Drosophila melanogaster: one gene and its partner. The protein of the gene in region 1 interacts with the protein of each later gene in a pairwise test. Each region holds a gene or a part of one and is shown in the gene's direction. Other genes may lie near its edges. The genes, in order: CG12708 and trbl.

Region 1 (14,200 bases):
TACTGTACACTATTTACTACGAAATTAAAAGTTTTAAATGTTTAAAATCTTTGATGGGTAATCCTTATGATTAAGTACGCAAGATACACCAAATTTGTAAGTTCTTTTTTCTCCGTGTAGTTATGGATCGGTGATTCGCCGTTTGTAGATCTGGAGTACAGTTAACAAGGACCTCGAATCCTGGCTCAAAACCCTCGATACAAGCCGTTGACCGTACAATTTGGTCGATTCTATGCAAATTTATGCAAATGCCCACCGTTTTGTAGCCTGTCGTTTGTCGTTTGTAGTTGTTGGTGGTTCGCCATTTGGTGGTGCACAGGTGCGTGATAAGTGCCGTGTAAAGGACTCGCAGGATATGCCGCAACATTTTTACTACCACAACTGTTACTCCCGCACCCTCTAGCTCAGTGCATATTATCCAGCATATCCTGCCAGCTCGCCGGTTGGAAATGAAAGGTCGACGGTGATGAATTCATGGGCGGAACGTGAGAATCCAGTTTAACTTCAACTCTAGAATATTGCCTCTGAAATATTGCCAAGTAATCCCCACGTAGAAGACAGTTTATCTCTAATTAATGGTTGTACTTATCTAACGCTAACAAGGACCCAATTGCGTTTACGCGGCAAAATGATCTTTACATCCTTTTAAGAATTAAATGTTCATATTTAATGGTAACAAATCGAACTTTCCTTTTTTAGGATATTAGGAATAATAAATTCGCAATTCAACTAGTTTTTCAAATCGGTTTTTTATTTGTCAGAAAAAAAAAGGATTCTTAGGTAATTATAGGATCTGTTTCAACATTCGTATTCCAAGGCAATGCTGCGCTTTTAGCCACTCAAAAAAAAAAAAAAGGTTTAGGTTATAACCAAACAGAAGTCAAAAATCAACATATGGACATGACCCGCATTGGGTCACTTCTCCACGAACAGATCCTCGGCGTAGGAGAAGCTCAGCCGCCGCTTGGTAACCGCCTCCACCCGCCCGCCGCATGATCCCATGGCCACCAGCTCCTCCTCAAAATCGCTGGTCGAGTTGTGCCCACTGTCCGGGCTAATGTGGCGCCTCTTCTGGGCGAACCGCTGGCTGGGCACTGCAGATCCGGACCTGGCCGCTGCGAGCAGCTTCTGCGCCGACTGCCTGACGCTGGAGGAGATCTTGGTGGTGATCTTTCGCTTGCGCCGCACCACCCGCTGCCTGCGCAGCTGCAGGGAATGCCGCTTGGCATCCTGCGATTCGGATTCGGTGGGCACGGGGGAGCGCACCTCCCGCTCCTCGAAGCCCTCCGCTGGCAGGGAATCCCTCCGCGAGGGCGACTTCCAGTACTCGCACAGATCGCTGGCCGGATCGAAGGCGGGGCGGTAGGTGGGCGATGGCGTCTGGGTGGAGCCGTGCCCGTGCCCGTGTCCGTGGCTGCTCCGGAGCACCTGCTGCCTGAGCCTGTGCCGCTGGCGGAGATGCTGCCTGGGCTGGCGGTGCTGATGCTGGTGCTGTTGCTGTCTGGCGTTGGGCAGCACCTTGCGGTTGCTCTCGAGGATGGCATCGATCATACGCTCCAGGGTCACATCGCCCATCTGGCTGGAACTGAGCGTATTCTGTTCGCCGATCGGAGGAGCTGGATGCGGATGGGGATGCGGATGTGGTAGTGGCTTCTGCTCCAGGTAGCGCGGCTTCTCGAAGTAGCTGTCCGGGATGCCCATGCCGCGCAGGGCGATCAGGGAGCCAGGAATGATGGCGGCATTGGGCGAGTACTCCGCCTCGAAGGTGGGCAGTGTGCAGGCGAACTTCAGGGGAACAGCAGCTGCTCCTCCAGTTGCCCCACTAGCGCCACTTGCTCCTCCCGATGGCGGCGTGGCCAGGATGTTGCTGAGGTCCTTGAGCAGTGGTGTGCGAGCATGGAGGCTCAAGGAGCTGGCCGGCAGCGGCGTGGAGGTCAGCTGGTTCTCCTTGCCTGGCGCCACTCCGATCGACTTCCTCTTGAGTTTGCCACGCAGGGCGTGGAACTCGCTGTAGCTGGAGCCCACCACTTCGGCCTTCTGCTCGAGAGATCCTGATCCCGATCCCGATTCCGATCCTGTTTGCGATCCCATGGCCAGCTCCTTGGCCAGATACGAGTTTCGCGGCTGGTTGACAGCCCACTTGAGCATCCTGGCAGCTGCTGTCTGTCGCTCCTGCGGTGCCAAGATATCTGGAAAAGTGGCAAAAAGGATAGGGCTAGTTAGCGATTGTCTATTTGCAAAGCTTCTCAAGCAGAATGGAATTGCAAAAAAAAAAAGCAAAAACAGAGCAAAAACCCGACTAACTTGTAGCGAAACGAGTTTGCACAGGGGCCTGCTTGGGATTTCGCCAAGGATTCGCACAGCTGAACGCCAGCTTCCCGATTTCCGCAAGGAGTTTCTGGTTCCGCATATCCTTGCGAACAATTGAGCCGGCACAAAGAGCCCGGGAACAAAGGAAAAGCGCGCTAAAGCTTCGCGATTTTCTGGGCCTCCGGTTCGCTCCTGTTCGCCATACCAACGCACTGCCCTCCAGCTGCGATTTAGCCCAAGGTTCTGCCTCGCGTATCGTGTGCTCGGGTGGTGTGCCGGCACAGGGAGAAATTATCACCCAAAATCAGGCAGGAATTTGGGGATTTATGCGCAAAAATCGGAATATCTATACATTTTATTTATATTATTTTTTAACTGATTGAACTATTGTTCAAATAATTTCAGAATCTGGGGAATTATTTGGCATCTAAATGGCTTTGTTACAATAAAGAAGATATTAAAATTGGTTCCAGATTTAGTACCCGATTAAATTATAAAAGCAATAAGCTATTCAAATTTCAATAGAAATGAAAAATGTTTACAACATTCTTTACTATAAAAATAAAATATTTAAGCAAAGCCCTTGATAGTCAAATTAGAAATTAGCGGTCCAATATACCATTTCATTAAATTTGCAAATCAATAGAAATTTTGGGAACTAAGTTCGCCAAGAAAGTTACTAATATAATTATTATTCATTTTGAATAGTAAATTTGTTGAGCTGCATGATTTTGAGACTGAAGATTCAAGTGATAAAAAAAGTGTGGCTGGGAGAACATATATATTTTTTGCCGTGTGAACTTGGGCAAAATGGTGGTGCTGCCGGCACACTCTGTTGCCTCGTCCTACTCCCATTCCTCTGCCCCATCCTCCAGTGGTGTCGATCTCCGGCCACTCGAGGAGTGATGGCGATAAGGGGGGATCCGCAGGAGTGAGCGATTTCGCTCATCTACTCGATTCCGGGATATGTACGTGCGTGCTAGCATTTTTGCGCATTTTGCAGCCGCCGCTCTCGTTTTGGTCTGAAGAGCACTCGAGCACTTGGGCCAAGTGGCCCGAGTTCGAAAACCCATTAACCCATAGCCCATTGCCCATATCCCATTGCCCAAGCTCAAAACCAAAACGCAGGAGCTAAAACCCAGCAAAACATAACCCAAAATCGCACGCGCACAATTTATACGTTTTTAGGCGATTTTAATGGGGTGTTTTTAATTAAACCCCGCTGCCCCAGACACTTCTGCTTTAATGCATTTTTAATGCACATTTAGCCCGAAAATATGCACACTGGCTTTTCGTTTTCCATTTCATGCACTTCACTTATCTTTACCTTTTTATTTGTATATATTTTTTTGGAATTTTTCGCGTTCTTCGTTTTTTTTTTTTTGGGGTATCCAAAGTTCAGAAATTGCTTCGTTTCACAATGAAAAATAATATAAAATTTTGTGGTATTTTTTCTTTGCACGTTTAAAAAAAAAATGAAAATAGGCGTAACGAGACGGGTGTTGGGAAATCAAAATTGTAAATTTTGAAATTTATTTCCTGCTCGCGATCGCAGAGAAATACACGTCCTGTCGCTGCAACAGACGAAAAGTGACTAATTCTACCCTCGCACGCAAACGTTGCGTGCTCACCTCGCAGAGCTTGAAACCCGGTCTCACGAGGCACACTGAAAACAAATATGTTGTACTTTGGGACCAGCTATACAAAATATTTTAAATGTATTACAGATTTTTGAATGAGAAGATACCCAACTATTTGAAACAGATTTTGATAACTATTTACGAATTTGTTTTATGCACACATAAAGATAACATTTAGGAATTTTGTATACAAATGAAATATATCCTAAATATATATCATAGTTGATTATTACATATTTTTAGTTCATTTAAAAGTATTGAACTACAGTCTTTTTTGACAGTGTACTAATGGAACCACCACCTTTTCAACAGCACCTTTCAATATTGAAGGTGAGATTGCCGTTCGTTCGCTCTCCCGATTTCTCTCCCCTGTTGACTGCTGAGGAATTTCGGGACTCGGAAAGGACATTCCCTTGGACTGAACTTGAAAACCTAGTGTAGCACCACCACTAGCCCGGCAATTTGAACTCGTCCCACCCCCCGGAGCGGGAGCGATCGGGTTGATATTGAAATCGAATGCTTTGCATTCCAATTCATCTCACATGGCATTTCACTTGGCATTTGTCAAGTTTGGATTTCCATCGTATAATGCTTGACAAATGCTCCGGCTAACGATCGGCATATATAATATTAATGGCCCACAAGGGACCTTCCATTGGGCCATCATCATTTGTGCGATTGATATACATGTTCCGAAATTGATTGAGATTTGATTTTGGGAAGTGTTTGGCAAGATGTCAGGAGTGACTTTTAGAATTATATCCTGCGGATTCGGTAAGTCTGAAAATATATACTATATTTTAATGAGAACTTTAAAAGCAGTTTCCTTATGCAAAATTACTTATCCTTGATGCTTTCGACTTTGATCATTTATGAATTAATCGAATATGTTTAATATTTAAGGCTGCGAAATACCAAATTCAAGGCACTGACAATAGAATCAGTCTAAACAATACGCCATATAGTCTTCCCTAGCCAGATCCAATTATTCCCTGTGTTTCGCATCACCTATTGATCTGCAGATCCTTTTCCATGGCATTTCGCATGATCCTGGGCAAATAAGCCGATCCGAGAGCCTCTGGTCCTTGAAGTGCCTGCCTGTCAATGGATGCCAGCTTTTCACGGCGATCCCAAATCAATCAAAGGATCTGGGTCCTGTGAACACACACAGACACACCAATACCAAACCCCACCCCCTGCCATTGCCCGCCAGGCATATCGAGTGGGAAAGCGGAAGAAAAGGGAAAGCAGTGGAAATCGAAGGAAGAAGGACGAAGGACGAAGGAGCCAGAGGGAAGCTCTGAGCAAATACAAATTCTAAATTATGGCCCATAATTCAGGGCCAGGTTTTAATAATTTTGCGCGCCCCGCCGGCGAAAGTAATGAGAGAAAGCAGAAGCAGAAGGTGAGGGAGCAGAGGAGCTCGCCTAGCCGTGCTAATCCCCGAGCGAACAGCTGTCCGGCCCAAGGATTGTGCATTGTGGGTCCCTATGTGTGATTCCTCGGATTTCCTCAAAACTCGGCCGCTCTGTCCTGGCGCTATCAGTGTGCGGCTTGTGATTCAAGATTACCTTTTCCCTACCCACTTTTCACTTTATCTAGATGTCCTTGCCGCCGCACGTTTCTCCAACGATGGCCAGCGGAATGGGATCCTGCACAGAGAGGAAAAGGATATACATTAGTTTAGATTTATGGGCACATATTTTATTAAGATTATGCGGAAACTTCAGTTAACTGGATTATTCTAGTAACAGGCATTGAAGAATTGTTTGAATATTTACTATATCATTCAAGACTGATTTTTAACCATTTTCAAATCAAATATTATGTATTATACAGAAAGATTCCATTAGCAGCCAAAGTTTGTCTTCTTTTTAAAATACCTATAGTACTAAAACTTTTATTTATGAAATTGTTGTTCAAATTCGAAAAAACCCAGAGCTAGATTTTTTCGACGTGTGTAAGAAAATGCCATTGATTGGGAAAAGCGATTGGAAAACGGTAGCAAATCGGAGCGTGAAGTCTTAGACTTATGAAAAATTGCACAATTGTTGGGCAATTTATTAGCGGCTGGGCTGGAGGAGGAACTGGATGATGGGAATGAAGAAGCGGAAAGGGGCTCCTCCTGCCCTAATTTATCTTCCTTGTCACCCTCTCCTTATTTTTCTTCGTAGCCTGCTCTGGCTGTCGCTCATCGATCCCTTCGGCATTATCCTTGGGCCTTTTTGGCCAGTGACCAATGCGTTAAATTGCCATTGATTCGGGAAGGACTGGCACGGATTATTATTGGAAAGATCACAGATCTTCGGGCACGCAGCTGCTGCTGGCCATCTTCCTTGATCTCCGCCCAATATTATTGATTTATTTCAATTTGCTTCGTTTTTTTCCCGAGATTTATCGTTGGTCACTCAGCTGCTGATCCATGTCCAGAATATTCACGTTTTATCCATATGAATGGTATGGAAAATTAGGGCCAGTTCAATTTGGTCTGGGAAGGTAGTGCCCCCCTTCCGAATGTCAATTTAGCGAAACGAAGGTTTGAGATTTATTTGAATAAACGTTTGTGGGAAAAAGTCGTAAAGAACTCAAATTGGTTCAATATGTCTAATATATATATATGCAGCAATGATTTTTCCTTAAAATAGGTGGATATTAAATACTGTATTAAAAAAGAAAACGTTCTGTCATCTTATGATGGTATTTAACCTATGAAGATGTCTTGTATTTTTGGAAATTCCCTTTGGGACTGATATATTTACGATCTCATTGTTTGAACTCGATGAACTCACAACACTTGAGCATATTTAATTGTGCCACCACCAGTTGCAATAAATTGTATCCTATAGCACTTGGTGGTCCGGAACTGCAGTGTCATATGAAATGCTAAAGCAGGTCCTGGCACTTCCTCAGCGAACAAAAAGTTGTGTTTAGTTTTTGCACAAAAACTGTCAAATAAATTTAGCAAGCAATAATATGGCGAAAGCAAATAGTAAAGATTCCAAAACTGAAGAATTGGGCAGATGTACGGTTGAGATTTAATTCTATTTTTCTCAAACGGACAATCGGCGGCTGCGAAAATATCATAAATTTGAGATCAGCAGAGAAAGCAGGAGGGAAAGTGAGGGAAGGTAGGAGCAGGACGGACCGGGAGCCCTTTAACCAATAAATTGCAAAACAATTGCACAATTTTCCACAACAATTTCCACAGGACAGCGATGTCCCATAAACAATGGGCCAAATTTGTACAATGCCCAAAGTTCCTGTTTGTGTTGTCCTTTTCTTGGCGAAAATCGTGAGAGAAGGAAGGAAAAATCGGAAAGAATTGCCTTGCTAGGGTCTAACGACTATAAGATACCTATTATTTAAACCTTTTATATATTTATGTTAGAAAAAGTTGGCAAATGATGCAAAACAGTTTCATCAATTAAACTAAATAATTGTAATCATTATTCCGATGAACTTGTTTAAACAACAACAGAAAGTCTTTTCAATATCAAATGAAAAACTAAAAATCCTTTAAGACCCAATGTTTTGTTCTAACTTCCTGTAACCCACACAATCACAGGTCTAGCATACTCTCAGGATCCCAAAAAAAACACAGGGTATCTTGAGGAGTCCAAGGTGAAAGGAGCCACACGCTGCGAGAAAGGTAATTGAAAATTATGTTTTGTGGCGCAAGCGGCGATGAGAACAGCTGTCCAACTATGCTCCGTCCCACTCACACGCTTCACAAGCGCCGTCCCTTTCTTGTTGCACGTAGGAATCCTTGGCCAACTGATCATGATCCTTCTCGGTGGCCAAATAAAAAATCTCACGATCGTGGAAAATTCGCACAGCTGTTGCCAGATCGTAAATCGATCGGTAAACGGTTATAAAAACTGAACATCAAGATAACGTTAATGTAGATCAAAGCGCAGCCTTCTGCTTTTCAATTTGTATCGCATTATCTAATAAATAGAAATATATTAGATAGTTTTGGGAAGTACGAGTCTACGAGAAGAGGTAATTGTATATATATATATATATATATACCAGATTCGATAAAAGGTATTGAAAGGGTATGCTTTTAGTTATAGTTGTTATCATGGGAAAAGTGAGAAATACGAATATTACAACTTATTTAAATAATTTATATTATTATCAATGTTGCAAAGTATCTTGCATAAGTTATTAAAGTCAAGTGGACTGATATCAGATGCGAAATACCTTTAATTACTATAACAACGAGTGGTCTCCCACCACCCGCTTTCAATGCCGCCGGTTGAACGTGCCTGCCGTTCAACTGCCTGATCTCTCCGCTCTCGCTCTCTTCCCTCTGCGCATGAGCAACATGTCCGTTCGTCGCCTTCTGCTTTCTCCCGGTTAAGGCGGCTAGCCAGTCAGTCAACCAACAACCGGCGAAGGGAACGCACGCAGTCGATCTTTGCCAGAAAAACGCGACGGTTGAAACGCAACACTTGGCAAAAAAAAAGCACTACATATACAAACTACCAAATAATCAATTCTTAAAATAAATCCGCGAACCATTTATTTTATTTTTTTGCTGTTGGAAATAAATATCAGTGCCGAAAAAAATAAACTACTGAAAAAGGTAAATTCAAGTGAACATCTAAAGATGACTGAAACTAAAAATGCAGTCATGTACAATGAGATCTAAAGGCTCATAAAAATAAATGGATATACCTAAAATAAATTACTTAAGTGCCTGTAAGATTCATGAATTCATTCATTAATGGTTATGAATATCTTTTCAAATAATTCCCAACATAACTGGATCAATGCAATTATAAATGCACAAAAATTCAATTTTTCGGATAACTTGTGATTTTTGGTTTTTTGGTATCCACTCAAGAGCCAAATTTGAATGCAACCTAAAAGTTCATTAAGATTTCATAAGAATAATTGAGCATATCAAGTTCAGAGTCAATTAAATTATTAAGGTCCAGACCAAAGGCTGCCCGTCGTCCATTTAATTGTCCGTGAGAGGAGTGGTTGATTTCGTTTTTGATTTCATTTTTGCCGCTTCGCTGATTTCGCCAAATCGATACACATCCATATACATATGTACATATGCATGTATATATGTATGTTTGTCTACATGCACATTTATCGCGGAAAAAGCGCGCCAAAATTGCCGAAAACTCGCCCGACAACTTTGCCGCTGCCCTCTTTATTTATTTGCTCCTTAAGAAAGTCAAGTTCTGGAATGCCAGAACCAGAAATACCCGCCCCCTTCCTAACCAGATTCCTTTGCTCTTTCCTTGCAGCACCCACTACAAAACCGAAAAACTAAAACTTCAGACAAAGAAGATGCTCAAGTGGGCCGTCAACCAGCCACGACCCTCGTACTTGGCCAGGGATGAGGTGATGGCCACCAGCAGCGAGGCAGTCGGCTCCAGCTACAGCGAGTTCCACGCCCTGCGTGGCAAACTCAAGAGGAAGTCGATCGGAGTGGCGCCAGGCAAGGAGAACCAGCTGACCTCCACGCCACTGCCGGCCAGCTCCTTGAGCCTCCATGCGCGCACACCACTGCTCAAGGACCTCAGCAACATCCTGGCCACGCCGCCATCGGGAGGAGCAAGTGGCGCTAATGGGGCAACTGGAGGTGTAACTGCTGTTCCCCTGAAGTTCGCCTGCACACTGCCCACCTTCGAGGCGGAGTACTCGCCCAATGCCGCCATCATTCCTGGCTCCCTGATCGCCCTGCGCGGCATGGGCATCCCGGACAGCTACTTCGAGAAGCCGCGTTACCTGGAGCAGAAGCCACTACCACATCCGCATCCGCATCCAGCACCTCCGACCGGCGAACAGAATACGCTCAGTTCCAGCCAGATGGGCGATGTGACCCTGGAGCGCATGATCGATGCCATCCTCGAGAGCAACCGCAAGGTGCTGCCCAACGCCAGACAGCAACAGCACCAGCATCAGCACCGCCAGCCCAGGCAGCATCTCCGCCAGCGGCACAGGCTCAGGCAGCAGGTGCTCCGGAGCAGCCACGGACACGGGCACGGCCCCACCCAGACGCCATCGCCCACCTACCGCCCCGCCTTCGATCCGGCCAGCGATCTGTGCGAGTACTGGAAGTCGCCCTCGCGGAGGGATTCCCTGCCAGCGGAGGGCTTCGAGGAGCGGGAGGTGCGCTCCCCCGTGCCCACCGTATCCGAATCGCAGGATGCCAAGCGGCATTCCCTGCAGCTGCGCAGGCAGCGGGTGGTGCGGCGCAAGCGAAAGATCACCACAAAGATCTCCTCCAGCGTCAGGCAGTCGGCGCAGAAGCTGCTTGCAGCGGCCAGGTCCGGATCCATAGCAGCTCCCGCCCAGAAGATGCGCCACATCAGTCCGGACAGTGGGCACAATTCCACCAGCGACTGCGAGCTGGAGGAGGAGCACTGCCAGCTGAGTCGCGGACTGGAGTTGGGTGGCGAGGAGCTGGAGGATGCCTGTCAGCTGGATGCCATGTGGTTGCAAGTGCAGGCCAGAGACGCCACGAAGAGACGCCTCAGCTTCTCCCTGGTGGAAGAAAGCTAATCCTCAAGGATATTCCTATACCATAGGCATAAGACATTTTTTTCATAGCCCTAAGAACGTTTTTTTTTTTTTTAATTTTTTGGCCAGAATAAATCATTTGGAATGCAGAATGTACGAAAAGAACCAAATTCACTGAGGGGCACACTGTCATAATTCGGTTGAAACCACAAGGAACCACCAGCAGTTTATGCTAAACACCTCTTGAAGCTCAGCGGTGCGTGGAAAGCAATTCCTCCAGAGCAGAGGGTCTGGGTCTTCTCATCCGTCTGCCCAAGTGGTCTTCTTTCTCACAGCGAGCTGGTTAATGAGCGTTTTAATGCTCCGATAGCGAGCTATAGGGGATTCCTCGGCAACATGGAACATAGAACTTGGCGGTAATGAGGGCCCTAAAAGGAAGGGGTTGTGCGACAATTGTCGCAAGAAAAAAAATATTATTTACGCTTCAAATGCCCACGAATTCGATGGGCAGGCAGCCAGCCAAGTTATGTGCGATCTAACGCGATAAGGTCTAGTACCTGGAAATGGAACAGGTATCACTTGCTCGGAACTCCATTCGAGTGTTATTAGCTCAAAGCGACCTTTGGAAAAGGAAGTTGCCTAACTTTCACCCGGGAAACTGCGATTTACCACTGCTTTCAGCGGAAACTATTCTCTGAAGGTATCATAAAATCATAGTGATGAGTTATGAAGCAAACCCAGTTTCGTAGATAATCCTTACATAATTAAGATACAAAATTTGTAGCCCAAAAACGAAATATAACTCGTTAGCGAACGGTTTGTATAACTAGGCTTCCAGCTGAGATGGAACCTAGGCCATTCCCACAGCTCCCGCTCCCCAAGGATCGCATCCCGCCGTGCGAGCCTCATTAGCCCATTAGCCAACTGGTCAGATGGATGCCAAGGAGCCCGGCCAGGCACCAACCATCCAAGGCCATGCGATCGATGGGTCAGCAATCCACTTCTGCGACGCGGCGTTAAATGAGCTGTCATAACATTTTGTCCAACCCTTGAGACGAAAGGAGTGGGTTAAGCCAAAAGCGTTAACACGTCTGCCAAGGAACCACCAATCCACATTCACATCCACTTCCCATGGCAAATGCTCAGTAGAGCGTGAAACTTTCTTATGCAGATGATGGGTTGACCATCAGTGCAGAGTACATTGTGCCATGTGACAGGGAAAACAAAGTAAAATACTTTATTATGTGATACCCGGCGAACTCCAGAACTCAAGTTTCGATCGCCGAACTAAGGTCGAGCGGTCAAGCAGCCCGCTCCAGGGAATATTCGTGATATACATGCAAATGTACATATGGATAACCCGCCGAAATCAGGGCAGGTCCCTTGTCAAACCCTCGTCCGCGCTCTGAACTTTTCCCAAAATTTCCCAAAAGGAATCGTTAGAAGAAGAAGAAGGTTCACGCCGTTGTAGTTACTTTATTTTTTATGACTCTCGCTTTTCTTTAGTTTTCCACAATGCGCTGCTCTGGTCTCCTGCCCATTATTATTATTATTATTATTATTATTATTATTATGGTTGTTGTTGTTGTTATCTGGTTCTTGTCCGTCCGGCTAATGACCGCTTCCGAATTGTTCCATGTTTTCATTCGTCAGCGCCCAGTTTTCCCGCTCCGGACGGCAACGTCTCATTAAACATGCATTTCTTTAATTTCGTTTTGATTGAAAGTGAAACGGATACTTACCCCTAGTAAGTACCTAGCTGGGATTCTTGCCACCACATATCATATCATTTTATACATATCTTCCGGTTTCGGATGGTTGACGAGTAATGAGTGGAGCGTTAGTCGAAGCAGAGATCCATAACGATAGGGAAAATCTGAAAATGTACAAATAATTAAGTGCGTTTCCTTAAGGTTTTATAGCTAACAAAATGTGTGCGTTTAAATGCGATTATAACCTACTTTAAGAATATAGTTTTATTATAATTGTAGTTTCTTAAAGTTTGCTAACAAATTTTTAATTTCAACTATATTTTTCTTTGACTGAATCTTTATGATACCAAGACACCTAATTGATATATGAAACGTGTCAAATTGAATTGAAATGTGGTTCCCAATTCCATGTTGTGGACACACTTTGGTCGAGAACAATGAAATCCATCGATCTGCACTCAATTCGAAACCCATTTTGTGAAAATTGAGAAAATTGTGAAAAATCACCCATTAAAAGCGGGCACACTCCAAAACTCTAATTGCGATTTAAACGTTTCTCGAGTGGCGAAAATGGAAACACCCGCTTAATTTTCGACATAGTGACAAAAGTCGTATCGCTGTTTTCTGATCGGGGGTTTTATATTGTACAAAACCTACATATGTATGGTATGTATGTACATACATAGTGAGGGATCGGACATGGACAGACTACCGAACCGATTGACAATGCCCAACGCACCTTTCGACCCGCACTTTGTTGCCATTCTGCCGAATCCCATTGCCCGCTTGAGATCCGCTGGGCAGGCGGGACACGTGCCTGCTCCATTATCGCCTGGCGATCTGATCGATCGGCGGCTGAACAGTTGCAAAAACAGCCAGCCAAGGACCGGGAAACCCCGCAGGACCAAGCGAACCTGAGGGCGGTTTTCCCTTTTTCCTGGTTCCTGCATGTCCTGCATGTCCTGCCAGTCAGGAAGTCAACGTCACTTCGCGAATGTGTCAACATGTGCAAAAACAGGAGACCCACAAGACCGAAGGACATTCAGCGCCTAACAGTTGTGCTGTCGAGTCCTGCGGGCTGTCCCTTCCACTAGAATTGGGAGAAATGTTGCCAAAATTGGAGTGCTGCTCCTACGGAATACAAATATCTATCATATATAAATATATTTTCATAATATTACTAGCTCACCCAGAAGTCCGAGAAATGTAATCTGCAAGGCAAATATTTAAGATTATTAACATACCAACAATGAAAAATTTAAATATACGCAATGAAAAGTGAAGTGGCAGACATTTTCTCAAAGTGTATACGAATGCGGTATGTAGGTGGAGTGGTGCAACATCACGAAGTTAGCGCCTTTGTGTTTCTTTTTTTTTTGTCTTTGAAGGACTTCTAGCGAGGTTCTAACAAGCCATATCCCTCGAAACACCAAACTTCACCTGTTGGCCAGGGCAATGTCCTTCGCTGCCTGCGCTGCCTGCAGCAAGTCCTTGAATTCCGTGGCTCTTCTGACTTTTCGACTCATCCTCGATCGGTATTTTTTGTTTTGTTGTTTCGGTCCAATTAGGCCGCACATAACATGTTATTTGGGCTGCCAAACCGCACATCATCAAGCCAACTCAGTCGGCCAATGGCAGGTGTAAAGGTCACGAGTGGAGGCCAGGACCCAAGGATCGGGTCCAAGGTCCTGCGCCTGCGGTCACAGCTGAAAATCCAGACCAATCGATGGGAAAGTCCATGGAAACGGTGCAAACTGGGACAGCAATATGTGAGGGAAACTCTATGAATGTAAAATAGATGTAAATTTTTTGTAGAATAAAGTTTGAAATATTATTAAAAATATATCAGCATTTCACTAACCTTTAGAAATGATTATTATTATTATTTAAAATATTTTTAACATATTATTAATATAATAAAGCTAAAAGAACTGACACAGAAACGTATTAACCATAAATGCAATATTCAACATAATGCTTCAATACAATTTTTAATAATGATTAATAATAAAAAATGGCATGGGAAGGAACATTGAATGGCCAAAAATTAGC
Region 2 (17,212 bases), on another chromosome or scaffold:
AGTGAGATGATAGAGGAAGTCTTAGCTGGAAGACTAAAGGCCCAGTTCAGGTGCTTGGAACCCCTACTAGGACGTTTCGAACCGGGATCTGTGGTGTCCGTCGCCGTGATGCTGTTCATCTTCCTGAGCTTTGCCATCTGTGTGGAGCTAAAGGTGTCGTGGACGCAACTCTATACGGGCACCTGGTGGGCACTGATCATCTATGGATTCATCATCTTCGCAGCAGGCACTTGCGTGGCCGTGATAGCTGTCCATAACCAGAACACCCGTGGCCTGATCTTCAAAGTTCCCCTGGTTCCCTTCGTTCCTGCACTTGGAATCTTTTGTAACATCTTGTTGATGGTCCATCTGGATGCCGTGACTTGGGTAAGGTTCTTTGTCTGGGTTTGTATCGGTATGGTGGTGTACTTCCTCTACGGGATTCGTAACAGCAAAGAGGGCGAGGTCTGCTCCTCGTACTCCATCCTTATGACCACTTCGGAGGCTGGAAAGGTGCCGTGGGGTTCCTTCAAGGCAACTTCCGGTGGCAAGAAGTCCAGTAAGCACTCCATCTTCGAGAGATTCACAGGACGCAGCAAGCCGGAGGACAAGAAATCAATTGTAGAGGAAAGCGAAAACGAAACGTCCGGATATTCCTAAGTCAATTCTTCCAATTGGAACCCAAAGCTTCAACCCGAATACAGATCGTGAACTAAAATCAAATCAGTGAAAGATATACAGTTGTTATGGTTTCGGCTTATTATTTTTGAAATGTTTAATGTACATAGATAAAACTACTTCAATTGGTTACTGTTCTTTTGAGAAAAAGATTATAATACTTATTTTCTATGTAATACCAAAAATATGTTTAATTATGTTAGAACTTTTGTTAAATCAAAGGTTTCTGGTTTTGATTTATTATTATTTTGAAACTGATACTGTTTAAAGTCCTGTACTTAAAGCATCTCTATATACATAAATAATCCATTTCAAATTATATGCATTCCAAAAACCCAACGTTGAACGAGACATATAATGGAATTTTGGTATATAACATATTGTGGCGAAGTACCTTATATTATATATACATAATATCAAGGTATAGCTATTTACAGTGTATTATTGCAAACAATATCGCAGAAATGGTATTACACACAACAAAAAACGTATTTACTCTGCAAACGTACAAATAAATTTATTTAACGTTATGCACACATGGCATTTGTTAAACTATAATAGTACACACATACATGTCTTTAAATAACTAACTATATATATTTATAACTGTGTAAATAAGCATATACAATACTATATATTTGCAAATATATATTGATTCGTGTATACAAAATAATCAGGTGTTTCAGTGGATTAGTTTGCAGATTAGTTTCTTGATTTTTTTCCCGTATTTATTATTTTTATGACTTAGATATCCTGCCAAATAGTTTACTATAGAAGGACTTTTCATTTTCAGGAATTCGAAAAAAGGCTTAGGGATAAATGATATGATTTTATTGCCTGATTTCCATTTCTGCTTAGTTCTTTGAAACATTTCCACGCAAAGAGATTACCCTTATGTTTCTCGTCATGTGTACAGTTTATATCGTTTTTTAGGACCCGCGAAGACATCCTGAAAATTCGAACAGCCCTTAAAATTATAAAACCAAGAAGCGTAGGCGCATATGTTCAGCTGCAAGAATATCTCGGAATCCCAGCATCATTCCACAGGAAGCAGGTGGTGCACAGGACTATTGAGAGGTCCTTTTCGACTGCAGGCTGTTTTATATAGTGCGTAAAAGCGTAGAACTTCGTTGAGGGATGCTGAGTCAGTCGACCGAAAGATTGAAATGTTCATAAGAGAACTTGTTTCTTGGATTAACTGCCGCGGTCTTGCAACGACAAAAACGCAAATCTGAAAAGATAGCTTCAAATCCGAACGTCACGCAATTATAGCCAACTTTTGGGCAAATTTAATTAAAGCGCTAAGTAAATAATAAATAAATAAACAAATCTTATCAGATTTTGATTGCTTGATCAAACCATTGTTTATTGCGCATATATTTTCCAGAAAATTGTCAAGTTTTTATTTACAAAGAAAAGTGTAACAATGATGACAATATAAAAAAAAGAGGTTTTCCAGCTAGTTTGGTGTCACAAAAGAACAAAGGATCGGGATCTTCCCAGGTGAAACAGGGTCGCGCGAAAATACAATGGGCAAATAAACGGCGCAATTACAAAATTGAAGAAAAGGGCCAAAGTTCGTTTGAATCTATCGTGAAAAATGAGGAAACTTGACAAAATTTCGGTCGAAGTCCAACCCACCCCATGATGATAAGATTAAGGATACTTTCCATTCATAAATGTGGGTCGGTCGGCATTGCTTTTGTGTGGAAAAACTGTGAAATTGTTGTACCCCTTTAAGAATACGTTCACGGATGGCCTGGAAAAGCACATATGCATAACAATCCATCTCGGAAGAAAGGGGAAACTATTTTGGATAATATTTTATTGAAAAATATCCTTTTGATAGCTCAAACAATTGTCATTTTAGGGGTTGACAGGGTTAATGGTCCTCGGCAGGCTGTACCTCACTGTCGTTTGTGTCCGAGTTGGGAATAAAGGGCTCAGTTTTTCTTGAAAAACTGATTTCGCTGACAAACCAATTTTTTTCTGTATGTATGTATCTGGGATACATCCGTACAGCAGGGTGACCACTATTTGCGATGTCGCATTTTCACCTGGGAAATGCCGGTGCCGTACCCGTATTATAAATGTGTCGCAAATTACCCACCTTTACGTCCAGAAATTGCCATATTCTGCACGGATCTTGGGACATTTCTGCCTCGGTTCCCACGCCGTGACTAGTAATAATATTTCCAAGCATGTGTGCGAGAGTTCATCAATAGCACTTCGACGGGGTATCCTTTCCATACAAATATTACGGACAATGGGTAATCCTCAGCATGTTGGCATCTAGGAAACGCATCTGTGAGGAATTGAGACTGGAAAAAAGGGCAGCAATTTTCACCACCTACGCAGAGAAGAGATATGTATGTACGTGTGACTAAGAAAGTGTTTGCTGTACTTGAACCCTTGTTTGCGGCCTTCAAGCGGAAGAAATGTGGAAGCAGTAGACGCATCTGAAAGATTGAGTACTCCAATCCTTCCATGAGTAATTTTGGAGTTTATGTAACCATTTAGATTTGGGTAGTTCAAGAAGTTATGTTAAATAGAAATTTACAATATGTAATGGTAAGTATCTTCTTATCAAAGTTCAAGACGTTTAAATCAAGTAATATTAAAGATATCTTTACCATATAAAGTTATGTATCTCCTTATCTAAGCTCCAAAGACATTAAATAGTTAAAGTTCAACGGACTTAACCATTGCATTGTTATGTTTCTCTTTGTACGAAAAGAAAGTTATAATAGTTTATATTAACGGTATGCAGCTTGTCTAATGTTGGACAAGCTTTAGGTATTTCTTAGTAGTTATATGGCCAATCTTTTCGTCGGAAAACTCCCTTAGTTGATTATGGGGCTTTAATCAGATCAAGTTCCCTCGCATGTTTAGCCTTCCACAGAGCGTCGCGTTTCCATGACAATTTATACGATTTTTCGAACCAACCATCCACCGACTAGGTATACCTATGTGGTCATTGCACCTGATGGTATTGTTGGCACTAAGCACTTTCTCCAAACACCGCCGACAACCTGTTGTGTTTCATACCCATAACCACATACAGATACTGCACGCTCGAACTAGTGAGAGTGTATCTTTTGCGATGCTAGATACGATTTGCCGCGCGAGAAGTTTACACACACTTGTAGTTTGCAGATAGACAAATATTATCTTAAGTATAATATCTGCATTCTATATCTGCATATATAAGGGATTCAATGGCATGTCTTAATATATATTTATATATGCCTAGTTTACCCTGACCTGAAACCTTGATTGAATCCAACTTACTTTCATAGGTCTTATGGGTCTGAAATGACCGCATGACATTAACATTCATCAGAGTTCCACTGCAAGTGCAATCCCCAGACCACGTGCCACAACCTAATCTACTTTTTTTATAAAAGCCACATCACGGCCGTGCATCATGCACTTCCCATCCAAAGCACTCGCTCACTCACTTCGAGAACTTCACCTTCCACAATTTCGTGCGAATCTGAAACTCCAAAGTCAGGGTATATGCACAAACTAAAGCTGCCGCCCGCTGGCGAATCAAGATATACGAGTTTGTGTGCCTGCTTTTGGGAAATGTCGATGTGACGGGGCTTGGAATGGATAATCTAAATCAGGAAGGGGAATTGCGAATCGGAATGGCGAGGCGTCGTCATCCCGAATTGATGACGCAGCCGATGACGCACTGAGTTGTTTTTTTTTTTTTTTTTTGCTTGGAAGAGAAATCTGGATTTCATGCCAGCTTGGCAACAACAAAGTAGCTCGCACAATGGCAAAAGCACGCTGAAATTTTAGAGCAGAAGAATCCGCGAGTGTCGGAAAGGTCGGCTTCATCCGAATGTTCGAATTTAAATTTAAAATGTAACGTACTCTTGGTGGGGCTTGGGGCACAGTGGTTCAAAGGAATGGGTTACGGTTACATGTGAAATTATTTCACAAGGCGATTATAATCAATACTGTTCAACATCATAGTGCGTCATTTCAAATTTCAATGAAATATGTTTGTATAATCTTCCCACTGCAAACTGCAGTTAAAACTTAATCATCATTGCGGACCATGGTGAAACTCAAAAGCGATTTACTGGAATAAAGGTTGTTTGTGTTCACGTATATTTACGTGATTATTGCTAAAGAATATGTATATTTCCCGTACATACACTTTTCATATCAAAATGATCAGGCCTATTTAATCGTATAAGTGAGTGCAGTGACCAGAGTGAAACATTAATTGCTTGCAAATAAGTATGTCGTATGCAAATAAAATATTTTTCAAATTCAATTTGATGTCGCCACCCCTATAATTTCCCCCCTTTTCGGTTGCATTGGTGTCACGGTACCAGTATAATTCTCGTTTCAATCTTCCTTTCGAGAAACAGATGCAAGACTTTGGAAAAGGGACGGGCGAAAAGAGAGGTTTGTTGGTGTTATTTGTTCTGTTCGCGATTTTCGCATTCGTATTTATCGGCTACTTCGTGGGAAGAAGAAGCAAAGACGGACGTTGCGTTTCAAAAAGAGCGTTACAATATGAAGAATTCAATCGAAGAGATCGGTGAAAACCAATGGACGAAATACAAGCCTGCATAAACAGTTGCGGTGAAAATATTAGTATTCAAAATCCCAGTATCCCAGAATGAAAAAATTCAAAACTAAATGAGTTATATCTAACCTACAATTGTACCAATTCTATCAACGATTTTAAAAATACATTTTTCAGGTCTTTTAGTCCAACAATTCGGTCTTAAAAATTATATTTAAAGACCCTCATTTCCAATTACTAAAGATTCGATTGCGATAGTTCCTATTATTGTGACCGCGAATGTGCTCCTGTGTATCCTCAGACGGATGTCTTTAGTGGGAAATCACCTTGCGCCAGCTGCAACTGCAACTGCATCGCATGTACAGCCCTGCACCGATGCACTATATCTGCCATATAGTGCTTAGGGGTGGAATAGTGCAGCTGACATATGTATGTAGGAATCTACCTGCGACATAATGCCGCTCGGTGGTTCTTACCTGCTCCTTGAGGATCTCGGATAACTGCCTTCTGTTGCTGTCGTAATTCCTGCGTAGCCCAGTGATCCTCGTTTCGGACAGCTGCAAAAATCATGAAATCGTCTGCACCGCGAGGTAAACAGCAAGGTAAATCCACATACACACACACAAATGAGTAATGATCTCGCACAGGAAAAAATTCAATGATCGATTTGGATCCAAGAGATTGAAGCGTTATTTGAAGATTCGAGTTTGGGAGCATTTATTTAAATTCTAGGATTTACTAGAACTATGTTTGTACATCTGAAATGTCCATCTGTGGTCATATACTTAGGGATATAAGAGATCTTAATCTGGAGTATTAAGAAGACAAATTTCTTAATTTTAAATTTGTATGTATATTAGGATATTAAAATGTTTTATGTTTTATGTTTTTTTATAATAATAGTAGTTTGCAAAGCAACTACTCAAAAACTGCACATCATCATTGAATTTGGTTTAAAAATTTCGTAACTATGGGAAAACAAATAATTTCAACCAAACTTGTAAAATATTACCTTATCAGAGCAGGAGAAAACCTTAAGTATCCAAGCCAAGAAACCACAAAAGATATTTTCGAGTTATAGAGATGGTTATACGGGTGTTTCTGCCTTCGATATCCGTACCCGTACTCAATAAAACAAAATCGAAGTTCAAGCTGACTGTACTTTCATTAATTTGATCTTAAAACTGTGGATTTTATCAGTTTACTAACCCCCTCTAATTAACTTATCGCCACGATTTATTGGTGCGCAGATTACTACGTAAAATCGTAGAAGAAAAGTTTAAGGGTTGCTGTGGGTATAGTGTTCATACAGCTACGTATTTCGAATTCAGTTGGAATCGGAATTTCAGCGTTCAGCGCAATTTTTTCAAAAATAACGATGCTCTTGTTCTTTCTCTCTCTCCCAACCATTTGGATTTCAAAAAATAACGACGCTCTCTGGTCTCCCACTTCTCTTTCCATTCCGACCGCATTGAGCTAAATTCCTGCAACGGGTGTGAGCGAGGCAGAGAAGGATCGGTGCAGTGAGAGCGAGCAAGAGGGTGCGAAAGAGAGCCGTTGTATTTCGCCGTTCTCTTCGCTTCGTGCTTCTTCCGACCGCGTGGATGGTCACATTTGAAATTCAAACTGCGGAGAAGACGGTCGCGTTCGTTTCGTTTCGCGAGTTCAGTGAGCAGCGTCCGATTTGTTTTAAAATCGCCGCATTTCGTCAGTACCCGCATTGCAAATGGCCAAACTACCGAAGTAGTAGTAGCCCTGAGTTTAAACGAGAGTTTAAATCGAATTTAATCGGAGACTAAACGGCGCGTCGCTAAATGTCAAAACAATTAACAGCCAAGTACAGCCAGGCTAAAGCGGAGTAACAAAATTAGTAAGAAGAAGCATTAGCAGAGAATAAGACGAAGAAAACGTAGCGAGAGCAAGAACTGTGATAAAGTTAAGTGAAGTGGTAAACACAAGCAAGCATGGATAACAGTAGCGGTCAAAACAGCAGAACGGCTTCGTCAGCGTCCACAAGCAAAATAGTCAACTATTCGTCACCAGTCTCGCCAGGAGTCGCAGCCGCCACCTCCTCATCCTCATCATCCAGCAGCAGCGGCATGAGTAGCAGCCAGGAGGACACCGTACTGGGATTATTTACGCCCAAAAAGGAGTTCCCCAATGCCAAGATGCTGCAGACCATCAGGGAGAAGCTAATGACGCCCGGCGGAGCCTGTGACCTTCTGGCCCTGGGCATCGCAGCGGAACCCACAGACCAGCAGCCCGTCAAGCTCATCCAACAGCGTTATCTGATCAGCGCACAGCCTAGTCACATATCGGCCGCCGTGGCTGCCAAGACTCCCGCCTCGTATCGCCACTTGGTCGATCTAACCGCCTCCAATCTGCGCTGCGTGGACATCTTCACCGGGGAGCAGTTCCTCTGCCGTATTGTAAACGAACCGTTGCATAAGGTGCAACGAGCCTACTTTCAGCTGCAGCAGCACGACGAGGAGCTACGCCGGAGCACCATCTATGGCCATCCACTGATCCGACCCGTGCACGATATCATACCGCTTACCAAGGATCGCACCTACATCCTCATTGCGCCCGTGCCCCAGGAGAGGGACTCCACGGGTGGGGTGACCGGGGTGTACGAGAACCTGCACACCTACATCCGCCACGCGAAGCGACTGTGCGAGACGGAGGCGAGGGCCATATTCCACCAGATCTGTCAGACTGTTCAGGTGTGCCACCGCAACGGGATTATCCTCAGGGACCTCAAGCTCAAGCGGTTCTACTTCATCGACGAGGCCAGGTGAGTTGCGTGTCCAGGTGACACCTTCGAAAAACCCATATACACCAATATACGCCACATATGCCTGACTTATACCAACTCAATTGCATATGGCTGGCTAGTCGGTTTATTTTGCAATTCGATGGAAACTCGTTATGAGCGAGAGATCTTGTTTGTGGTCGTGTGTTGGTGGTGCCACAATTGTTGCTCTTGTTATTGGCCCATGTTGTTGTAGTTGCTGCTGCTGCTGCTGTTGTTGCTTTTGTTTTTGTTGCTGGCGCCGTCGTTGTGGGTAACATTGAACATTTAACAAGTGTTGCAATCGAATCACCAATAGGCCAACAACAACAATTATACTGACAAACCGAATGAACGCAAGGCGTACGTATGTACAGCACAGGGTATAATGGTAGTTTCAAACTAATTTTATAAGTAAAAATATATTCCTACTATGCGAAGCATTGCAAAAATGAATGGGAATAAGATCAAAAATGTTAAATAATTTCAAAGATAAGTTTTTGAAATACACCTATTATTAAACTATTAATTAACATGGTGTATTAGCTTTGTAGCTAAAGAATTATTATTTATGTAATATCATTGAATTGCCATTCAGTGAGCAAGCATATGCCTTATTTTGCAGACCCCGACTGTATCTCTGTGTACATACTCGTACACAAGGGCCCAATGTGCCACACTGATGGCCAAAATGTTGGCTCACTCGTTTTTTCATTACACATTTCGGAAGCTAGAAATTGCCACATTTCAAGAATTGTTCAACATAGCATTTGCAATATGGTTTTGGGGTGGGGATCTGTGGGCCACGTACTCGGCGTTCGCTTGATTTGTCGATTTCCCGTGTGTGAGTTTACAGTGGATGATGAAATATTGACCCCACCTTCATCGAAAATGTATTTTCGCATATGTTAATTAACACAACTGTATCGAAAACGCGCTGTCTCCCGTTCTTATTATCTTCGAAATTGTACTGACATCAGCATGGAACGACTTGAACATTTGGTCGATTTCGTATGACTCTGCAATTAGCGCAATATCTGCTGATTTTTTCGTCATTTCGTCGTTCTGTGCCAAGTGCAAAACGGCGGAAGGAAGAAACCAACCCATAGATCTCTATCTATACTATACTTCTCTCACCTTGGCGAGAAATAAACAACAAGTGTTCAATACGACTCAAATGCGCTGCGATTACTGGCGCTCACTTCCATTCCCATTTCCATTCGAATAATACATCGCTATATAGATAAGTGCTCGCTGGGTGTACATACATACTATATGGGCTATGGGCGTGGCCATATCCATATCTACATATGTCCAACGGGGCGGCCACACACACGCACAACCAAATAACGAGCCGAATTTTTAAGGTCACAGTGCGGTGAATGTCCCTGACTCTGATCTTCTGTATTTGAACGCATTTATGTACATGCATATATGCCAGTGCCTCCCATATACAAATGCGTATGCTTATGCATGTAAAAATCTCTGGTTCATACTTTTATTTTGTCTACTCTTTTGCCGTACGTAAATACTTCCAAGGTGTTTGAGCATTTATGCGGCGCCGGTTTTCCGTATTTCGTTTCGATTCCGATTTTATTTTAACCTCTGTCGCGGGTTAATGTGTGCCAAACGTATAGAGCGAGAGAGAGAGAGAGAGGGAAAGAAGAGATCCACAAGACGCTCTTCAAAGCTCGGTTATGTCGCGCATCGAGGTCAGCAGCTGTAACTATTCTCCTCATCACATCTCCACCTGCCTTCCGTGCACTCAAAAATATAAATATTGGTTCACATAAAACCTTGATCTTAAAAGTATAATTATATATGCTTGCCTTGATCTTAAATATAAGTTTATAATGTTTCTGTATCGAATGGGGTAACTAGACGATAGAGGACACAAAAATCAAATGAAACCCGAAAACAAATGTATAGAAACATGCTCTTAATTAAGAACCGTGTTCTTTGAATATATTATTTAAATGCGCTATCTCTTTTCCCTCTTATTGATTGCCCACCTGTTGCTATCAAGTTGAAGGTAATTTGTTTCTTTCAGTGTACACTGTGATTTGTGCCGAGGAGAGGCGCGTTTTCAAAGCTTGTTTTTGTTCAGGGTCAGCTCGAGGTTTTTTTGGCCTGCTTTGTGTTTGGCTCTTTGGATGTTTGGATACCAGACCGCGGCGACCGTGTGTTTGTATATCGCTCCGTTCGCTATCGGCGGAATACCCAATGTTGGTAGTGGTGCTCGGGTCCCAGCAGAAGCGCCGTTGCAGCAACAAGTTGCGATACGTCACTCCACCTCACCTTACTACTCACGCAGCTCACACAGCGGACTCTCTTTGGATCTATGCGCTGTGCTCGCTGGCGTTTTCGTTACTTTTTTGCTTTTTGCATTCGAATGTGGGCCAATGTCAATGGAGTGGAGTGGCCCAATGGAGGGGGAGTGGAGTGGAGTGCAGGGGCGGAGGCGGCGGCGGCGGCGGCACTCGCTCATGGGTGTCGGGGGTCGCAAGCTGCGCTTTCGTCACCAATCCAAGTCAACTCAGCTCAGCTCACAATGTGCTCTCTCGGCCAATTTGCCTTTTGACTTGTCAATACGCCAACGCCAAAGACAACTACAACTGAAACTGAAGCTCCGTGGCCGATCGATTCAAGTCTCTTCGATATTGCGCTAGCTAATGGCCCCACAAAATCGGGGGTTATGCAAGTCCCAGGGATTGCACATGATGTAGAGCTCGACGATGGGTCTGATGAACGGGTACAGTTGCGATCAGAATAGTGGCAGTGCCAACTCAAGTTGCAGTCATATCTACTCTTCTTTGGCAACAATAGTTCTCAACATATTAATAGAAACGGGTAAAAAAAAGACTGTTAGTTTTATTTCTAAGAAGCATAAACATATATTTTGTACCCTATTTTGGCGGATTATTTATTCGATTTTGTCATTTGCTAATTACAGAACGAAACTGCAGTATGAATCACTGGAAGGCTCAATGATCCTCGACGGCGAGGACGATACTCTGAGCGACAAGATCGGTTGCCCACTGTACACCGCTCCAGAACTGCTGTGCCCCCAGCAAACGTACAAGGGCAAACCGGCGGACATGTGGTCGCTGGGCGTGATCCTGTACACCATGTTGGTGGGTCAGTACCCGTTCTACGAGAAGGCCAACTGCAACCTCATCACCGTCATACGCCACGGGAATGTCCAGATACCCCTGACGCTGTCTAAGTCGGTGCGATGGCTGTTGCTTTCGCTGCTGCGGAAGGATTACACGGAACGAATGACCGCCAGCCACATCTTCCTTACCCCGTGGCTGCGAGAGCAGCGCCCCTTCCACATGTACCTGCCAGTCGACGTGGAGGTGGCCGAGGACTGGAGCGATGCGGAGGAGGACGAAGGCACTGCCGCCGATGCGATGGATGATGACGAGGAAGGACTCTGTCCCTTGGGTGACAAGCACGAGTACGAGGACATTGGCGTGGAGCCATTGGACTACACGCGCTCCACGCTCCAAATGGCTCAGAATGCCAATGGGCTGTCCACGGAACCCGAACCCGATACGGATGTGGACATGGGCTGATTGGAGCTCGTGGAGTCACCCACGGGTTGCATTCTGGGACACGCTGGCGCGTTGGCTGCATCCGGCTGAATGCCGACTGATTAGCCGCCGGGACTGGGCATATCGGATGATATGACACTGTGGACATCCTGGCCTTCCGGGTCGCGCCGACTCCGACTGCGTTCCACGTCGTCTTCCTGCAGGTGGTACTGCCAACAAAGACTTAAAGCTTAGACACACAAGAACTCACTGCCTTCCAATCGCGCTGCAGCCCCGATTCGATTCGTTCAAGAATCACGCCGCTCCGCAGCCTCCTCTCTGCAACCGATTCTTCCTAAAACCTACCTATGTACAATACATTTAACATTTTAATTTTTTTGCAAACTGTTGATCTTATCAAAGGACAGTCGCCCTGATTTGCTTTTGGGCTTTAAAACACATTAGTTTCCATGTTAAAAAATGCAACGAATGCAAATTGTTATTTATTATTTAATACTTCTGTATTACGCTTTGTGTACTCTTAAAATCTTGTAAGTGAAAATTGCAAAAAAGAACATAATACATTGAAATTTGATCTCACCAAGAATAATTCGAATTTGTTTCTTTAGGGCTCTGGGGTAAAAAACGCTGTTTTTATTTATTGACACAAGATTGTAAATATTTATAAATGTGTAATTAGTCAACCAGACTATGAGCTTAACATGAAGATTCTAGATTCTCAAGAAGCGGAAGGCTACAAAAGATGAAAACAATGAGTCAGGGGAAAATACGATTTTTTGGTTCTAGATGCGTCATATTGTGTACTAGTAAAATTCAACATTTGATTAAGATCAGATAATGTTTGGTCAAAAATATGAAAACAAAACTGTCCAATCTATTTTCTTCATGAAGGAGATTAATGAATAGTTCACGTCACAAAATCGAGAATTCTCTCGAGTGTCGAAAGTCAACAAATTAGTTATTGTTGTTGCTGAGATTCCCATTACCGAGCAGCAGATTCCCAACCTGATAATGCAACCCAGTGACTGGAAGTTATCAGGTGGGCGAACGTGACTTTGGCTACGGAAATATTTGCGACTTTGCTCCACAATAGCAGTAAACTAATATTGTGAATAGCTGCTGAATGCGGAGGTCCCACCACTGTCATCTGATGTGCCGACGTGACGGGGACTTTCGCATGTATACCACCTACATATACTCGTGTACGTAAGACCCCCGATTTTTGGCTCTGTGTGCGCCGTGCTCGAGCATTTTTACCTGTGGTCGAGCACTTTGTTCAGATTATGAAATTGCCGGAGAGAACGAGAACTGCGCAGAACGCGAAAACTGCTGACGACTACGCCACCTACAGATTGTGACTATCAATTTTTTTGGGCTCAGTGCCACGCATGAACTTTAACTAGAATCGCCTGATCGGTTTAGACCCGACTGGAAAATACCCATCGGGAACTGTATGTAACCGCACTGGAAATGTATTCAAATCTGATGCTTTTGTAGAGTATTACAATATGTTCTTGTCTGTCTTATTTTTGTTCAAATAAATTTATTGTCGATTATTGATACATATTGAACTAAAGTCTGAAGTCTGAAGTCCATATGTGGTCTTATAACTTAGGAATTTATATCTTTTACAATAAGTATCCTGATTTTATTTCACTTATTAATTTAAGAATACATTTTAGGATGGGTACTCAAAGCTTCGAGATCTTGAAAGGGTAAAGCCCATTGTCATGTGCAGTTTGATAAGATTTTAAAGGGGACTTATAGAACGGAATGAACGATCCAGAACTTTTCGCATTCCTTACATACCCAAAAGTCACAATTACTTTGTTTCTGGGGAATAACGAAGCTCTAATAGGGGTCACGCTACCCAAAAAAAAGTATGTTAAATGGAAAGTACAAAGGTGGACTAGCCTAGCCCTGTTACAAATTCACTTTTTAAGGTTCTAAAACCTTAAGTTAAGTACCTTGACAACCATAAAGAAGACCTGAACAGTGACAGCTACGCTACTTTCCCTGACCCAAAAATTAGTCGTTACTTGATTCTTTGTTATGGCTCTGGTTCAATTCTCAAGATTTTCCGTAAATTTCTTTGTTTGCCCTCGCACGCAGCTTATACTGTCTGTCATTAGAAGATAGTCCTATGTTTTCCTTCAAGTACCCAACAGATAATGCGAAATTCTTAGCCTGAAAAATCGTTTCATGGTCTTCTTCCTAAATCACTCCAGAAGTCATAAAACTTTATGCACCATTTTGCAGTATTTACAGAAAAGGCGGCAGATAAATGCCGAGAAAGATACGAGATACTTTCTAGGCAGATCAGACAGCTTGTGCGCTATTTCAAGTCAATCAAATGCTCAGTTAAGGTATTTAGCGCAAAAATCTCGGCAGTTTCGTGCCTAATTGCGGAAACAGTGTTCTAAATAACTTTAGATTGCTGCAATTGTATGAGTACGTGGTCGTACGCACGCCGCATATTTATGTGCGTAAATCGTATACATATCTTAGACTTTTGTCCCCAAAATGTGCAGTTGCTGACTATTTCGTGTTTGGCATTGCAGGCGGCTTACATCAATGGGGGAATCTTTCTAAAATCAACCCTAAATTTCTTATCGAATGATAAAAACTCAATGTCCAACGATGTCATTTATCGCAATGGTTCCCCGAAGTCTAGCCTTGATGCTTAACCTTCTACACAAGCAAAATTTATAAAATTTATTAACCATATTTCATGAATTGTATTTTCTTATATTGCCTTGACACAGCTGGTGGATATTGTTAACCATTGAAAGACCAAAGCTTAGATAGTAACATTTTAAAAGCTTTATTGGCTAAAGGGGTGGTAATAATTAACTTGCTCTTTTAAGCACATTTTTCCGTAGTAATAGTTAATTTAAATCTGTATACACTAATTGCCTGTTGTTTAAATTTTTAAAAAATATGGTCATCAACATGAAAAATGTTTAAAAAAAATGTTTTCAAAGGTCGATGAAATTAACAAGTGTTTCATTGTTCTTTAAATTTCACAATTTCTGTGCTGGTTACGTCAAATTTTCAACAATGACACATAAGTGAACAATGCACTGTTTATTAGCTGAGGAAATATAAATGAAAAACATATCGATTATTCGAAATAATCAAATTGTCTGAGATCTATATATTGAAAAAATAGCACGAAAGAATATACAGTTGATGTTCAAATCATTAATATAATAACACTATGAAAGAACACACGTTTGAATTTAATCATTGACTGCAGTCAAACTTAACGGAAATTTCGTAGTGTTGCAAAGGTAACGCTAGAGTGAAATAATCGATATACCATTTGTTTGCGTTTTGTTCGGAAATCGTGGGAATATGAGCTAATCTCACGAATTGGCGTTGAAAGATATGATGAGCTCCCGCATGAGCTTGAAGGATCTGACCATCGAATGCCTGCTCCTCATATTCGACTATTGCTCGGAGGGGGACCTACTGTGCCTGTGCCGGGCGGACCCGGCTCTGGAGTATATTATTGAAGCCTACTACTTCTACCCACTGGCCTACGATTTGCTGCTCTGTGGCCACCGGAATAATCCAAGGATCGAACAGAGGTTGGTGAATGAGATTCGGATAATAAACTTAAGATAATCTATCTACCTCCTAGAAACCGAAGACGCCTGAAAAACTATGAACGCATCGAGCTGTCAAGGAACTGGGTTAGTGGCACCTATTTCGAACGACCATACTTCCACCATGCCCAGATGTTCCCCACCAAACTGTGCCTGGAGGCCGACTTTCTGTACATCACACATGCCTGCTATCTGCGCAAGTACCGGCGGTCCAGCTGCGATGCACTGCATCGTCGCTTCGACGAGGAGATCTGTACGTCCGCACAGACCGACATCTCCGATTTCGTCAAAAAGAATGAAACCATATTCGCGGGAAGGGTTTGTGGATCGTGCTTCCACTACGACACCGATAGCATGGTGATGACGGAGCAGAGGATGCATCCGGCCAACGAATACTTGTACTGCGTAGACTTTGTCAAGGATCTGTACGCAACCAGCACAGATCACTGCTGCAGACTGTGGCAGCGTGCGCAGGAGTTTGGAATGACGCATTTTGATCAGGTGATGCATCTGCCGCACGCCTTTAGGTCTCTGGAACTCAGTTCGGATGGCCAGTGGCTGTATGGTGGACTATACACTGACAACGGTCGCCAGGCCTTGAGGGCAGTCCATGTTGAAAGGTAAGCCCTACCGACTATTAGTTAAATATAAATCTTATGTGTAGGAATGTTTTAGTTAATCCTTAAACATTAATCAAAGTAGAAATATTTGATTTACATTTTACTATCATTATTTCTGTTATTAACTATCTTTAATTTTTTTCTTTATCAGTGGCGAGGAATTGGTGTTTAGTTCCAAAACAATGTCAATTTACGACCTGAAATTGAAAGATGACCAGGTCATTTTCACGGCCAACTTCGATAGCACGTTTCGTATGTTTGACAGACGCGTGGATCGCGATGTAGCCATTTGGGATGATCCGTTCGACTCCTCCTTCTACTCCTTGGAGTATGATGGTCTGCACGCGGTGCTGGTTGGCACCAACAGACATGCACGGGTCAACCTTTACGATATAAGAATGAAGAAATACGTACAATTGTACTTTCCGGGAAGGACGCGAAGTCATAATGGCTTGTCGCCAGTGTACAGCCTCGCCTGTGATAGCCAATATATGTTCGTGGCCACCGATCACAATATGCGTGTCTTTGACTTTAAGGCAAGCTGTGGAATTCGGAGAGACTACAGCAATATTGTATACAAACGAAGTGAAACTTAATCACATTGGATAACCCATATTAAAAATGTGCCAAATCTTATACATTCATTGTTTTGAAGAAACCAAATGCGCCGTACAAATATACATTCAAGATGTCTGCTGATTTCCCGTAAAGCGTACTATTTGTTCTTATCAGAACAACTCGTGTCTAGTTTATTACGGAATTTTTTTAGAATAACACAAACCTTAACAATAATTGTATAAGTAGGCAAAGGTAGAGAGAAGGCTATTACCGTCTTGTTTTTAAACTGTATCATCATACCATCAGTTTGTGTAGAACAAGTTTTATTGACCTGTCCACGAATTGGATCCTAAAAAGAAAACTTTAAAACATCCACTTAAAGCATGTATAAAAACGTTAAGATAATAACTTAAAAGAATCATTAGGTGGATGCTATACCTGCTCTTTCGTCATTTTGTTGCGCGCTAGACTTTTAATTGCGTTTCTATTGTCAAGTATTTGTAATACTTTTCTGAGAGCTAACATCTATCACTTTAGAATCGAAACTAAAAACTACCGAATCTGTCGAAGATAGCGTGGTAGTAACATATGGTAAAATGTTACGCGGCGAAAAATTAAGACATAAATTGTGGTTCGCCATTTGATCGGGCCAAAATTCGTTGCTTTCTAGCAGGCACTTTATCCATACATACGTAATTTCATGCATTTACAATTTGTGCGTCATCAAGTTACAACTAAAGCCGAGAAAGAATTACGATAAATACCGAGATGAACTGCGAAGGACCAAAGTCATTGCCATTGCCATTGTCATTGCCTTATTGATCTTAGGTCTACTGTACATGCACTTCAATCGGCTGGCGCACGTTGGG

The links.
Region 2: the proteins of CG12708 (region 1) and trbl interact in a two-hybrid assay, tested with the Drosophila melanogaster proteins (2 studies listed by BioGRID).

What each region holds. Positions count from the first base shown.
Region 1 is NC_004354.4:15,667,147-15,681,346, forward strand, and holds CG12708 (uncharacterized protein), read left to right. Parts: upstream 1-8,329; 5' UTR 8,330-8,541; exon of another isoform or gene 8,542-8,657; intron 8,658-9,217; 5' UTR 9,218-9,260; coding exon 9,261-10,478; 3' UTR 10,479-10,591; downstream 10,592-14,200. Other genes in the region: CG15646 (uncharacterized protein), read right to left, coding at 916-2,148.
Region 2 is NT_037436.4:20,391,214-20,408,425, reverse strand, and holds trbl (tribbles), read left to right. Parts: upstream 1-6,816; 5' UTR 6,817-7,170; coding exon 7,171-8,000; intron 8,001-10,950; coding exon 10,951-11,575; 3' UTR 11,576-12,138; downstream 12,139-17,212. Other genes in the region: CG13248 (uncharacterized protein), read left to right, coding at 1-639; CG33969 (uncharacterized protein), read left to right, coding at 14,945-15,147, 15,201-15,785, 15,937-16,381. UniProt on the Drosophila melanogaster protein: Adapter protein that negatively regulates different signaling pathways to coordinate cell differentiation, proliferation, migration and growth.